Arabidopsis thaliana: one gene and its partner. The protein of the gene in region 2 interacts with the protein of the main gene of each other region in a pairwise test. Each region holds a gene or a part of one and is shown on either strand. Other genes may lie near its edges.

The links.
Region 1: the proteins of AT5G09380 (region 2) and AT4G35540 interact in a two-hybrid assay, tested with the Arabidopsis thaliana proteins (one study listed by BioGRID).

The regions. Positions count from the first base shown.
Region 1 is NC_003075.7:16,870,977-16,877,070, reverse strand, and holds AT4G35540 (POLLEN-EXPRESSED TRANSCRIPTION FACTOR 2), read right to left. Parts: upstream 3,237-6,094; 5' UTR 3,133-3,236; coding exon 1,549-3,132; 3' UTR 1,473-1,548; downstream 1-1,472. Other genes in the region: WOX13 (WUSCHEL related homeobox 13), read left to right, coding at 1-126, 551-1,048, 1,172-1,257; AT4G35530 (phosphatidylinositolglycan-like protein), read left to right, coding at 3,791-3,982, 4,306-4,390, 4,489-4,543, 4,747-4,885, 5,030-5,146; MLH3 (MUTL protein homolog 3), read right to left, coding at 5,544-5,702, 5,778-5,863, 5,978-6,050. UniProt on the Arabidopsis thaliana protein: Plant-specific TFIIB-related protein that plays important roles in pollen germination and embryogenesis, possibly by regulating gene expression through interaction with TBP2 and the subunits of RNA polymerases. Binds double-stranded DNA in vitro.
Region 2 is NC_003076.8:2,909,542-2,916,068, forward strand, and holds AT5G09380 (RNA polymerase III RPC4), read right to left. Parts: upstream 3,784-6,527; 5' UTR 3,723-3,783; intron 3,620-3,722; 5' UTR 3,596-3,619; coding exon 3,569-3,595; intron 3,484-3,568; coding exon 3,428-3,483; intron 3,352-3,427; coding exon 3,291-3,351; intron 3,193-3,290; coding exon 3,156-3,192; intron 3,067-3,155; exon of another isoform or gene 3,045-3,066; coding exon of another isoform or gene 3,032-3,044; coding exon 2,957-3,031; intron 2,818-2,956; coding exon 2,765-2,817; intron 2,673-2,764; coding exon 2,612-2,672; intron 2,512-2,611; coding exon 2,429-2,511; intron 2,343-2,428; coding exon 2,127-2,342; coding exon of another isoform or gene 2,100-2,126; exon of another isoform or gene 1,922-2,099; coding exon 1,772-1,921; 3' UTR 1,636-1,771; downstream 1-1,635. Other genes in the region: AT5G09370 (Bifunctional inhibitor/lipid-transfer protein/seed storage 2S albumin superfamily protein), read right to left, coding at 1-27, 450-485, 613-934; AT5G09390 (CD2-binding protein-like protein), read left to right, coding at 4,050-4,123, 4,448-4,637, 4,763-4,888, 4,965-5,138, 5,279-5,408, 5,498-5,539, 5,679-5,850, 5,989-6,066 and 1 more.

The DNA of each region.
Region 1 (6,094 bases), on a different chromosome or scaffold from region 2:
TGTACGTGAAGGTGATGACCGATGAGCAGTATGAAACTCTCAGGAAACAGATTGCTATTTACGGCACCATTTGTGAGCGTCTTGTTGAGATGCATAAAACTCTCACTGCTCAACAAGATCTTGCAGGTTTCTATCCTTTCTTCTATCATTTAGTTTCTTCTTCTCTGTTCATCTAAAGATAAAAAAAGGACTCCTTTTGAAATTTTTAAAAAAATTCAGAATTTTTGTGTGGTTTAATTGATTTTTTAGTGATTCTTCTTCACTTTGGTGTATGGGTAATTGAAAATTCTCTGCCTTTTAAGCATTTGTTGGCTTAAATCTGATTCAAAGACCAATCCTTTTCGTGGATTTTTGAGCTAAGAATAAGGAAAATAATGGTTCTTGAGGAATTCTAGAATCACTCCTTTGAATCTTTCAATTGAGCTTCGAGAATTTCCCACCAAAATAGGTGTTTTTAGCTTGATGATGTGTTCTTGAGATATAAAGTTTCAGTTTTTTTATTTAGTTTAACTTTTAACAACTCTGCTCATTTGTCTGTTGTTGGTAACAGGAGGGAGAATGGGAGGACTATATGCAGACCCAATGATGTCATCTTTAGGTCATAAGATGACAGCTAGACAGAGGTGGACTCCTACGCCAGTCCAGCTTCAGATTCTGGAACGTATATTCGATCAAGGCACGGGAACACCGAGCAAGCAGAAGATCAAAGACATAACAGAAGAGCTGAGCCAACACGGCCAGATTGCTGAACAAAATGTCTATAACTGGTTCCAGAACCGACGTGCTCGATCCAAGAGGAAGCAGCATGGTGGAGGTTCTTCTGGAAATAATAATGGTGAGTCTGAGGTAGAGACTGAAGTTGAAGCATTGAATGAGAAGAGAGTAGTGAGGCCAGAGAGTCTTCTTGGTCTTCCAGATGGAAATAGCAACAATAATGGGTTAGGGACAACAACAGCAACAACTACTGCTCCTAGGCCTGAAGATCTTTGCTTTCAGAGCCCTGAGATTAGCTCAGACCTTCACTTGCTAGATGTTCTATCAAACCCAAGTAAGTAACAAAGATACCTTTTTAGTTCACACGTAACTGAAAAAAACAGAGACATTGGCTTTGAAGAAATAGTCAAGTAAGTTGTGTCTGTCTCAGATAATTTCTTGTGATTTGTGTTTGTAGGGGATGAGCATCTTGTTGGAAAGATGGGACTGGCGGAAAGTTACAACCTTTATGATCATGTTGAAGATTATGGCATGTCAGGCTGATTGAATACAAGCTGAGGAAACTTCTAATTATCAGAGAGATCAATGAAATGGATTTGGTAGTCAGTCATAAGCAGTATTAGACTTTTGTTTTTCTTAAATTGTTTCTTTCAGGGCTTATTAAAGAAACAAGTAGTTTATCTTATTAATCATTTTCAGAGAAACATTTACATGGATTGTTGAATCGTCTTGTGATGCTTGCTTTGATAATTTCTGCATTCAGAACGATTTTTACATCCTTAAATGAATTATACTGTAAGAAATAAAAAAATTCCAAGAGAAAAACATTTCAATTCAAACCTCTCCAGAGTTGAAAACATGCAAGTCTAACAAAGTTTTGTAATGGCCTTTCTCTATTTCTTCCTCATTCACATTGTGTAAGACCAGAGTCTGTATAACCAAATCCTCCCAATCAATTTCAGATCCTTTCTTCCTTTTCTTCTTGCTATGTTCAAGCTCCAAAGACAACGCACCTTCACTAACATTGTCAGAAGGATGTTGTATTGCATTAATCCGCAACTTAGCTGCCTTAATCTTTTCTCTTCGTCTTTCAACTGCAACGCAACCCTTTATGTAAGAAGGAGGCAAAGCTTCAAGCCCTACATCTTTCTCCAACAAGTCTTTGAGCAAAAGCCTTTTACTCAATTCCGATTTCCCTTTCCACCAATTTTCAGTTGACACCATTCCAAAAACAGATCTCCTTTGCCACATACTCTGACTACTTCCCTGACTTCTTTTCGCAAGAGTCCCACCACAAACTCGATCCTCAAATTCATTATACTTTGTAGACAACTGATTCTCCGATATATTATCATCATAGTTACATAAACTAAGCTGACGTTCACCTTCTACATCAAAATACCGAGACATAGTATCTTGACGAGCATCATCATCATAACAATACATAGATTCTTTGCTTAGGCAGTCCATCACTAAATCCTCCACACAAAATCCATCAGTTCTAACTAATTCTTTCCCAGTCCCTTGTTTTCTCTTTTTCATGGACTTGGCTTCCATTAAAGCAAACAAAGTTCCTGAATGTTTCAAAACATTCTTCACAGTAACATCTTTCGCCCAAGGCAAACCCACCTCTTCAGCAACCTTCACAAGCTTCTCAGATAACTCTTTATACCGCGTTTTACAAGTAGTCAACGAAACACTAGCATCTTTCGCCAAATCATCAATCTTTACCTTCACACCATTCACTTGAACAACAAACGCCAAAACAGCCACAACCAAAGGCATTGGTCTCCTCCCCGTCGACAAAAACCATTTCAACGCACAATTCATCAGGAAAGTCCCTTGCTTTATTATCTTCTCCTTCTTATCCCTATCAACATCAGTCAATCTCGGTGAATTAGTAACCGTCTTGGTAAACAAACCCACAAGATCAAACTCTCGCAATTCCAAATCTAGATGATCCACAACACGCTTAATCATAGGCCCTAACTGATGCAAATCACATCCAACTTCATAAGCAACCTCTTCCATAGACAAAACACCTTTCCCTTCTTCTCTTACCACAGCATAACAACAAGCTCCAATCAAAATAGGGAACCACTCACCTTGTCCAAATTCCCCATCAGTAAGCTTACTAATCATACTCTTAATCACTTCAGTTTTATTACCAAGATTCAATCTTTCTGTTGTCTCCTCAATTAAATTGTTGGCTTCATAGATCTTCTTGTCTTTATAATCAAGAACAGAGCCTCTACCAATGGTGCCTACTCGTATATATGTACCTTGAGGTCCTCTTATGCCGCCAAGTTGTGCCTCATAATTATCATACTCTCGTAATGTCCCACATCCACCGCAATACGAATTCCCCGTGTCTTCGTCGCGTTCAAAGTTGCTTCCATTGCATCTCTTGCAACGCATGATTCAAACCGAAAGCTTCACACTTTAAATTACGGGTTTTTTTTTCCGACAAGCAGAAGAATGAGATTCGGATCGCCGGCGAATCGAGAAGTACTGGAGAGAGAAATCAAAACTAATTAAGATTTGACCTTTCCTTAAAAATAAGCTAGGTTTTTATATTGTCGAGATGAAAACGGCATGATGTTAATATGAATAAAACAAAAACGCCAGGGTGTTTTATTTAGGACGCCACACAGTTTGTATTATTTTCTCTCTTTTGGCTTTTTGTTGTCTCCTCCACCATAGTGCCGTCTTTTATCTCTTTACCGGTAAGAGAAGCCGGTTTCAGATTTGATCAATTCGAAGAATTGTGGCTTTCGTTCGTTGGGTGAATCCTTGCTTCGTCCTTTTTGATAGATTGCTACTGTGTTTTCGAGGAAGTTGTGTGGAGATAGTTAGAGAGATTTATGAGATTTCAAGAGGGGTTATTATAACGCACGCATGGTGTTCGACGGAAAGCCGCAGAGAAGTTTTGTTGCTATCCGATTTGACTGAGACTCAAAGTTTGAAAATTGTTACTTGGGTATTGAGAAAGCTAACCTTGGGCAGGTTCGTATATGAGTTGGGAGTAAAACGACGGTGATACATTTGACTGTTTTTCAACTAAACTAGCTTTGAAATGGTGAGCTTGTCTGTTTCGAATAAGAGATACACTTACATACACGAAAGTGGAAGTAAGTCAACTAGAGAAGCCATTGATATTCACCATGTGATTATCAACGGAAGCAGCGGAACTGGTTATGCCCGTCGTTGGGGGCTTGGTTTCTTCCTTGTGTTTCTGGCGAGTTCTATGTACTTTTTGCTTGGAAAGGTAATTATGCTCTTAGAGAAAATTTGGTTGTTGCCGTTTGTTATTTTGATGTGAATCTGCTTGACATTTGAGTGATTCTGATGCATTGCTTAGAACAAGTGTTGCTAGTACATATCATGAGAAAGGCATACCATTTTGTTTCTTAGGATTGGTGATGGAGTATAGTTTGATATTTTCATTCTGTTGTGAGCATTATGTTAATACATGACAAGGTTTGTATAAAAGCACTTTTCTTTTTTTGTGTTACTTTACAAGCTTGTTTTGTTGTTGTTCCATTTGTTTCTTCTTCACTTAAGTTGAAAGGGATAATTCACATGAAACAGGACAATCCAGCTAGAACTCTTTCTTGGGGCTGCCTTTTAAGTGGTTTCTTGGTTATGCTACATAGTCGCAAGTTCGTCAAGAAAGGTGAGATCCTGGTTCATCCTGATACACGCTTTACAGGCTTACCAAATGATATCAGCTTCACGTTTTAACTAATTCTAGCTTTTCTTTGATTTCTTCAGAATCTGTGATAATCTTGCCAACCTTCGGGATCCAACTTGAAACTCAATATTTAAGGTATGCTTTATCCATTTAGTTAGTATTCTGTTGTCTGCACTCCATGATGGCTTAATGCTTTGAACTACTCCGTATTAGTGGTCTCTAAGATAGGTGGTAATGGTTGAATTTGTTGTAATTATCATGAACCATTATGATCTATGCTTTTAAGTTTTACCAATCATACAAGTACCTACTTTTTTGTGCATGCTTCTGCTTTGCAGTGGAAAAACTGTCTCCAGGTTTATCCCTATTGACAAGATTTTGAAGCCTGTGTTGGTCGAATGTGTCACTCCCATTACGTGTTACTGGAGTCTCTCTTTATTTCTTCGTGGTGAAGAACAACTTACATTGGTGTTTAAGGTAATGGCACCAGTTTGTTTCATTACATTGTGAGAGAAAAACTTCTGCTGACAACTTTGAGAAACAATCTAGAGTTACCAATTATTCAATTCGGGAATATTACTTATAGCAATTGATTTTGAGTTCAATTTCCTCTTTGGACAGGAACTGCGTCCTCCATTGAAGATGTTGGTTCCCATTTGGAAAGCATTGTGTGCTGCTATCGGTACAGACCACCAAAGTGAAACGATAGCTGAAGAAGAACATGATGTATCTAGTTAACTGCAGTTGTGATTAGAGAACTTGTAGATTTGTTACTTGTTGTTGGCAGTTTTGTTTGGAAGATGATCACACAATATGTTCTGTAATGGGAGAATTGACTTGACACAAAAAAAGAAAAAAGAAAAAAACTCTTTGAGTGGTGAACATTTGGATATCATTTGTCAATGAACTTTTCTTTTGTACATATTAAATCGAATGCAAAGAGTACAATGAGTTATATCAGCTTACAAACTCTCTAGTGTAGTACTATTAACCTATAAAAGCTTTACACTGTCTACGGGTACTGTAAGAAAGTAGTTATTTGCTGAGTAATACAACTATACATCCAAGTAGAAGATTTACAGTATGACTAAAGAGTATAGCAACCTGGGAAGGCTATGATACAGCTGCAACTTTTTTAACTTTTAGCGTTGTCTAAGCGTGATTTTGCACGATCAAGTGTAATTTCTCTGCGTTGTAAGCCATGCCACACTTGTCTTCCACTGAGCTTTGCTATCTGTTTGTGCAATGCCTTCAAATCGACAAGAGGAACTGTTGTAGGTCGCCCATGAGCACACTGTACACAGACTTAATGGGTTAATTTGATTAAAGAGATGAATTCCTTTGGTAGGATTTGATGTTTCTTACGCACCTGGAAACAAAGTGAGGTCTGCTTCAGTCCATCAATGATTAAAGAGCATTCTGACGGTAACAGACTATCTCCAAACATAATTGCACCTTAGCAGTTGTAAGAAAAACACAGTATCAGCCGAGAAACTAAGTGATGAATGGCAGTCACTTACTCATCCTTGCACATACAAAACAATTCTGAAGAGATAAGGAATATACTACCTCTACAGGCTTTGGAATTTAGGACTCGAAGAACAGATGGAGGAATAGTTGATGATCCGTCAGTATCAGCAAGCTGGTTTGCAAACGTTGAGTAAGAATTTAAAGTACGAAAAAGAA
Region 2 (6,527 bases):
GAGCCCATCCTGATCCCCATACTGGAGCTGTCACACAAACATAACAAGACAAAAGTCAAAAACACAAAACCAATTCTGACATGCACACCTTTAAAGCAGCGAGGAGAGAAATCACACAACTAAATGTCAAAGTTTAACAAAATAGAGAGTTTGATAAAGCTCTTCTCATATTACATGATCATGGCACATTACAATAGAGATCACATCCGCACAAGCTTTAATTATCTTGTCGCGATGGTCACATGATACATAAAACGGAAAAAGACTAAATTCTTATTATGAAGACAATTGACTTTTACAATTCCCCAACTTCGTTATAACGCCAACCAAAACTCGATTCAAGCAAAGAGTCCAAACAAATTCCATTTCCCTTAACAAAAAATAACAATTTAGATGGCATGATAAAAAGCAGATTAAAGAATGAAATCAACAAAAAGAAAGACAAATACCTTGCCCATTAGCAGTAGGAGGACTAGCAGGAGGCACTGCAACCAAAACAAAACAAAAACTCTATTATGAATCCATAATCTGATTTATCTTAAGGATCATAAATAATCCATAAAAAAATCAAGAAGAAAAACGAGAAACAGAGAGATAAAGGAGAAATCTAACATGAATCACAAGCTGACACCGGAGGAGCATTAAGTTTACAAGCAACGGGAAGAGTAGCAGATTTAGTAACGTTGAGTTTGATTCCTAAAGGTGCCTTCTTCAACCCTTCGCATAGACATATCGGTTTCGTATCGAGAATATTTTTGAGACTGGAGCAGCATGAAGCTGTGGGTGTATCGGCCGTACCCCCGATCGATATAAAAGGTAAACATGGGAACAGGGTAATCACAAGGGTGTCGCAGTCGGAGGCTCCATGAACATAAGGAGAGGAAACAGAGAGGACGAGGAGGAGAAGAGATGTCGCTGTGGAGAAGTAAGCCATGTTTTAATTCTCTGTGTTTTTGGTTACTGATATATCAAGAATCGAGAGAGAAGAAAATGAGAGTTGTGATAGAATGAGTGAAATGTGCTGTGTTTATATATGGGTTTCAAGTGATAGAGACGACGTCGGTTTTGGTGTACACGTCATGTGTAACGCGTAATTTTTTTTGGTTCTTTTCAATGTAAAGATCCTTGCTCATTTTTATTTGGATTTTATCCTATATTAAGAGTTCTTTCCTTCTTCTTTTTTTCTGGTCAAAATATTTTTTAAAATCTATCATCGAGATTAACGTTGTTACCAAAATGATTAGATTTGTTAGAAGAATACAAAAGAAAAGAAAAAAAAGGTAGAAAAATGACCATGTAATTTCTTAAAACTCTCTTCTTAAAGTAGAAGGATTTGTATTCAAACTTTGCTTTGCTGTAATGTACTTATCTTTGTTTTTTCCTGCTGTAACCTTCTGTCAAAATTCTAAAAATGGTATAAAACTTACCATTCATACCAAGAAAACAAATGCCAAGATTTTCTTTTTAACTATATTGGGTTTATATGTTTAAAGACTAAATATTAAATATAGTAATTTTTATTAATGATTTTGCATACAATGATTCCAGTGGGTCAGTTTTCCATTGTATTGGAGATTTTAAGGGATTGGTTCAAACTTCAAATGTAGAAACCTGCTTCTTGTTGTTATTGAAACTTGAAAGTAAAACAAAACTCTTTTTTTATTTCTTTCTCAATGTCAAAAAACTATGAATGAAGAAGAATGAAAACAAACTACCAAAAAAAAAAAAGAAAGAATGAAAAAATTGATGGAACAAAAATAGTTAAAGAATATCATATATTTTCGATATCTTTCAAGATTGAATCAATATCAGGAGTCAAAACTGCATGCTTGTACACATCTCCAACCAGACAACAGTTCTTCTGCTCTGTGTTAACCACCATCACATCTTGTGCAAACTCGCTCTTCAACCCTGGGCTTACCTACAACATCCCATCACAAATCCGAGTTAGACTTTTACTACGATTAAAATGGTTTCACTTTTTCTGTATCCGAACCAAACCCGTAAAACCAAAAACATGGATTGAACACCCCTACTAGATATTAGCTAGTATTATGCCCGGTAAAAACCATATTGCAGGATCTATGGTCATAGAATACTTAGTAAACGGAAAAAGAATCACTCACATCATAAAGCACTTCCCCAAGTTTCATCTTGACAGCACCACTTTTGTAGACTAACAGTTTGCCCATGTAACCTTCTGGCAAGGCTTTTAAATCAACAGTCTTCTTCTCAACGGGGCCTTTGATATTTGGCCTTGTTTCAAGGTTTTCTGTTGGTGTTGATGCCAAAGGAACAGAAGGTAGCCTCATAAAAAACATTTTCTGTTCTCCACTATCCTCCTGCCAACAAGTGATCCACATTATGTAACTATAGAGTTTGCGTGTGAGTTTTGGTTTATCGAATTTTTATATGTAATGTCACTAACCATTAGACCGAGATTAGCGGCTGTGTTAAGTGAATCTTCATGATGTCCTCCAGCCTGCATAAACTCCTCCACGTCAAGAACCTCTGCAATAATGAGCAGCATCTTAAACATAGGCAAATGGTAATCAAGAATCTGCTTTCACAAAATTGTTTTATTTTTCTTCTCAAGCAAATATATGAATACCTGGATCTCCTGCATACGGTCTCCTCATTGGAAGTGTGATAGGGTAATAGCTGTAGTAATCCTGTGAGACAATCCAAGAATTAATTATGCATCAACATTATCGATATATGAGTTCGAGATATAACTTTAGGGACAGGGTACTGTTATACCGACCCATGGTTCTTTATACTCTATCTCCTGAGTAGAGGTTGATCCATAAGCACCATCTGCACAACAACCAGCATGTATCAACACCCCCGCAGAATTATCAAAAACTTGTGATGTGTTGTGAATACAATTGCCTATGTTTTTTTTTGTTAAAATATATAATTGCCTATGTTTTAAACAAAGAAAAGAAATTGTTACTTGATCTATTGAGGTACTTATTTGATCTGGTTGAATTCACCACTCCCCCCAACCAAGCAACTTGAGAAGCAGGAACTGTATGATACATAACAAAAACTAAATCAGTGATGTATCAAAGTGATGTTTTTTTTTACAACTAGATAACGTAGCAGCAAACAGAGTAAAGATACGAGTCTGAGTTTCAAGTTAAAGACACTACCTTTCTTGTCCGCTTTTGGCTTGCGCAATGATCTTTCCTAAGGCAAACAAAAATCAAAATTAAAGAGAACTGAGTAAGTAAGAAGACACAAGAGCAAAGACAATTTCACTCAACGATTAAAAAAAAAAAGCTTACATTAACTCTGCGTAGCAATTCCGATGCTTGTGCACTGTTACTATTATCCTCAACCACTTCACTGCATTCATAATTCAAAAGTTTCAGAAGAAAAACATCTGTTTATGTTAATCAGATCAGTCATTAGTGTTGCTTACGGTTTAACTTCAGGTTTTGGCACACGTTTGGGTGGAGCTTTTGGGGCAAACTTCATCTGCAGAAGAACGCAAAATCGAAAATTTAGCAGAGCCAAATATTTTATCTAACATGAGAAGTTAACGATGATAGCAAACACAAACCTTCCGTACTGGTGGTTTCTGCTCCATTGCAATTGAATTCAAACACTTCGACTAAATAAAAAGAACCCCAGAAGAATATTTAGTTACGATTATTCAAGTATTCGGTTAATATTTTGAAACGAAAAATTCACAGAATTAAGAATCAGAAGCTGACCTGTGACTCCAAGTTCAATGACGGCCAACAGCTTGAGAAGGAGGATGATCACCAATTAAGGAGAGAACCCATAAATTAGGGCCTGTGCCAAAACGGCGGCGTTTTAGTCTAACCATGGTAAAAAAGTAAACCGGTAAATTAAAGGAAACAGACATAGTAATTCCAAACGTTAAGCGCGCTTTTTAAGGCCCATTTTTCAGCCCATTAATACGGCCCAATTTGTAAACGTCGGCGAGAATTCATGCTTTCGTCTTATTTCCCCTCGACGGCGATTCTCACCGCCTGGAAATAAACAAATCGTCGTTGTTCTCGTCTAACGCTTGTGCAATGGCAGATAGTTCGTCGAGGAGGAACCTTAAACGATCCTTCTTAGAAGATGAAGATTCCGATAAACAACCTCCGTAAGTTTACAATCTTTTCCGAAAACCCTAATTTCCAATTTTGTTCTGCTAAGCATGACGATACGTGTTTCTTCTTTTCGTTTCCGGTTGATTGACTCAGTTTTAGGGTAGGAAAAATTGAATTAGTAGCTCTTGTTTCTTCCATCTGATTCTCTCTTCTCCTCAATTTTGTTAGACTTAGACATTGAACCTGAAATTGAATGCCAAACATATGATTGTCTTGAACTTGGAGTATTAATCAGCTTTGAAATTTGTCTCAGTTACAACTTGAGTTTGTGTGCATACGCTATAATGTGGATTCTAATGGAGGATTCTCTCTGGCAGCGAAAAGCGAGTACGGTTTCCAAAGGGGAAGAAGTCGAAACCTGAACAGCTCTTAGAGGAAGAAGCTTTAGCCCGCCGCAAAGCCCGTGATGCTGCTAAGGAGCGTGCAAAGATTCGCAATCAGAATACTACTAAGCTCTTTATCGAAGATGACAGTGATGATATTAATCAGGCTCAGGAGACTTATGAGGTAGGATTTCTACTATCCTCTTTTTGTTTGTTGACTGTTCCTGGAAGCTAATTGTGTATATTGCGAGATCTCAATGATGTTTGTTTGCAAAAAGAGTTATGCTGATGTGATTTATTTCATTGTAGGATGATGGCAATCGCACAGAAGATGGGATCCAGATTGAAGCTTTTAGTCTGGACAGAGAGAAAGAAGAAGGTTACTTTGATGCTGATGGGAACTTTGTAGAATATGTTAGAGAAAAGGAAGTCAAGGTACACATCTTTCATTGTAAAGCTTAGCTCCAAGATATCTTGTGTATTGTCTTTCATTATATGTGTTTTCTTTCAGGATGCATGGCTTGACAGTATTGAAAAAAATCCAATGTATATGGGACGATCTGCTGCAAATGATACTGAGATGGATGATGATAGTGGGAACGAAAAAGCAGGGGATGACCTTTCTCAAGATGAAATCGGAGTTAGAAAGAGGCGCATTGCTAATGTCCTTGAACCAGGAGAAACGGTGAGACTCATTCTGCGTTTTAACAAGTTTTTGTTTCAAACATGAAACATGGATTGTATTAGTTAAAAATGTCACCTTAATATAGCATTGTTGATTATACATACTTCGAACACGTAAAATAAATCGGTTTCATGTTACAGGTCTTGCGAGCTTTAAGGAGGTTGAAAGGGAATTCGAATAATCGCAAGGAGAAGATGACATCTGAGACCAAGCTTATCTTTGATCAGCTTACTGAGGATGCGGACAAGCTTATCGAGAACGGCGACTACAGTAAGTCTCTAATAACTTATGCTACTTCAACAACAAATATGATGTCCTCCATTTGTTAATATATGTGTTCCTCTTTTTATGTATTGAAGATGTTTATCATGAGGAGCAAGAAGTTTTCCAACGTGAAGCAGGTTAGAGATTCTAATACTTTTTCAATATCAGCTGTAGATGTAGCTACGTTTCCTCTGCTTTGTGATATCACCTTTTCACAACATTCGGGAACAATTGGCTTGACTTTTCACATTCTTCTTCTCTATGTTGGTCTTTTAGAAGGATATGAGAGACTAGCTCAAGCGAAAGAAAATGGGACTGCCAATATAGTATCTTGTGATATGTTTGGCGATGATGAGAATGCTCCTGAACCTTCCTCTGATCTACAACCGTCTAGCTCCATCTCGGGCACTCAGCTTAATTCTGATTATGTGTTTGATGAATCTTCAGGGTATGTTTGTATATACTCTCCTCTCGCGCTCTCTTGTTGCATAAGTCAGCTTTTTGTCCGAAGTATTGTGTTGCTAGCAATATTCATTATGAATCTCAATTTTATTTATCTAAAAGTATTCTATAAATGGTTTTGCAGGTACTACTACAGCAGCAGCCTTGGTTACTATTATGACCCGAACACTGGACTTTACTGCTACGCAACAACCGGAAAATGGTAAAATTTACTTGGGATGAGTTTAGAATTTTGAAAACCCATTACTAATCTCTTTATTCATGTGTTCATAATTTCGATTATCAGCTCAATTCTGGTTATGTGTTTGATTACAAAATATGCGTGCAGGTACAGGTACGATGAAGAGACTAAGGAATATAAAGAGGTGGTTTCTGAAGTTGCTACTGAAGAAGTTTAATTTTCGTTTGTCTGTACTTTTGACTAACACAGGGTCTTGAAATATTTCCCTTGTTGTTTTTAGTTTGAAAGTAAGCACATCATACATGAGTTTATATAAATATATTTGGATTTATTGGTTTTCTCATTGATTTATGAGAAATTATAGAGATGAAAGTAAATTTGGACAATCTTATAATTGTATGAACAAAATTAGCTGTGAAGAAAGAAAACGAAATTATGAAACAGAGCCTGAGAGGTTATCGTAATCCTCACACACTCTCACA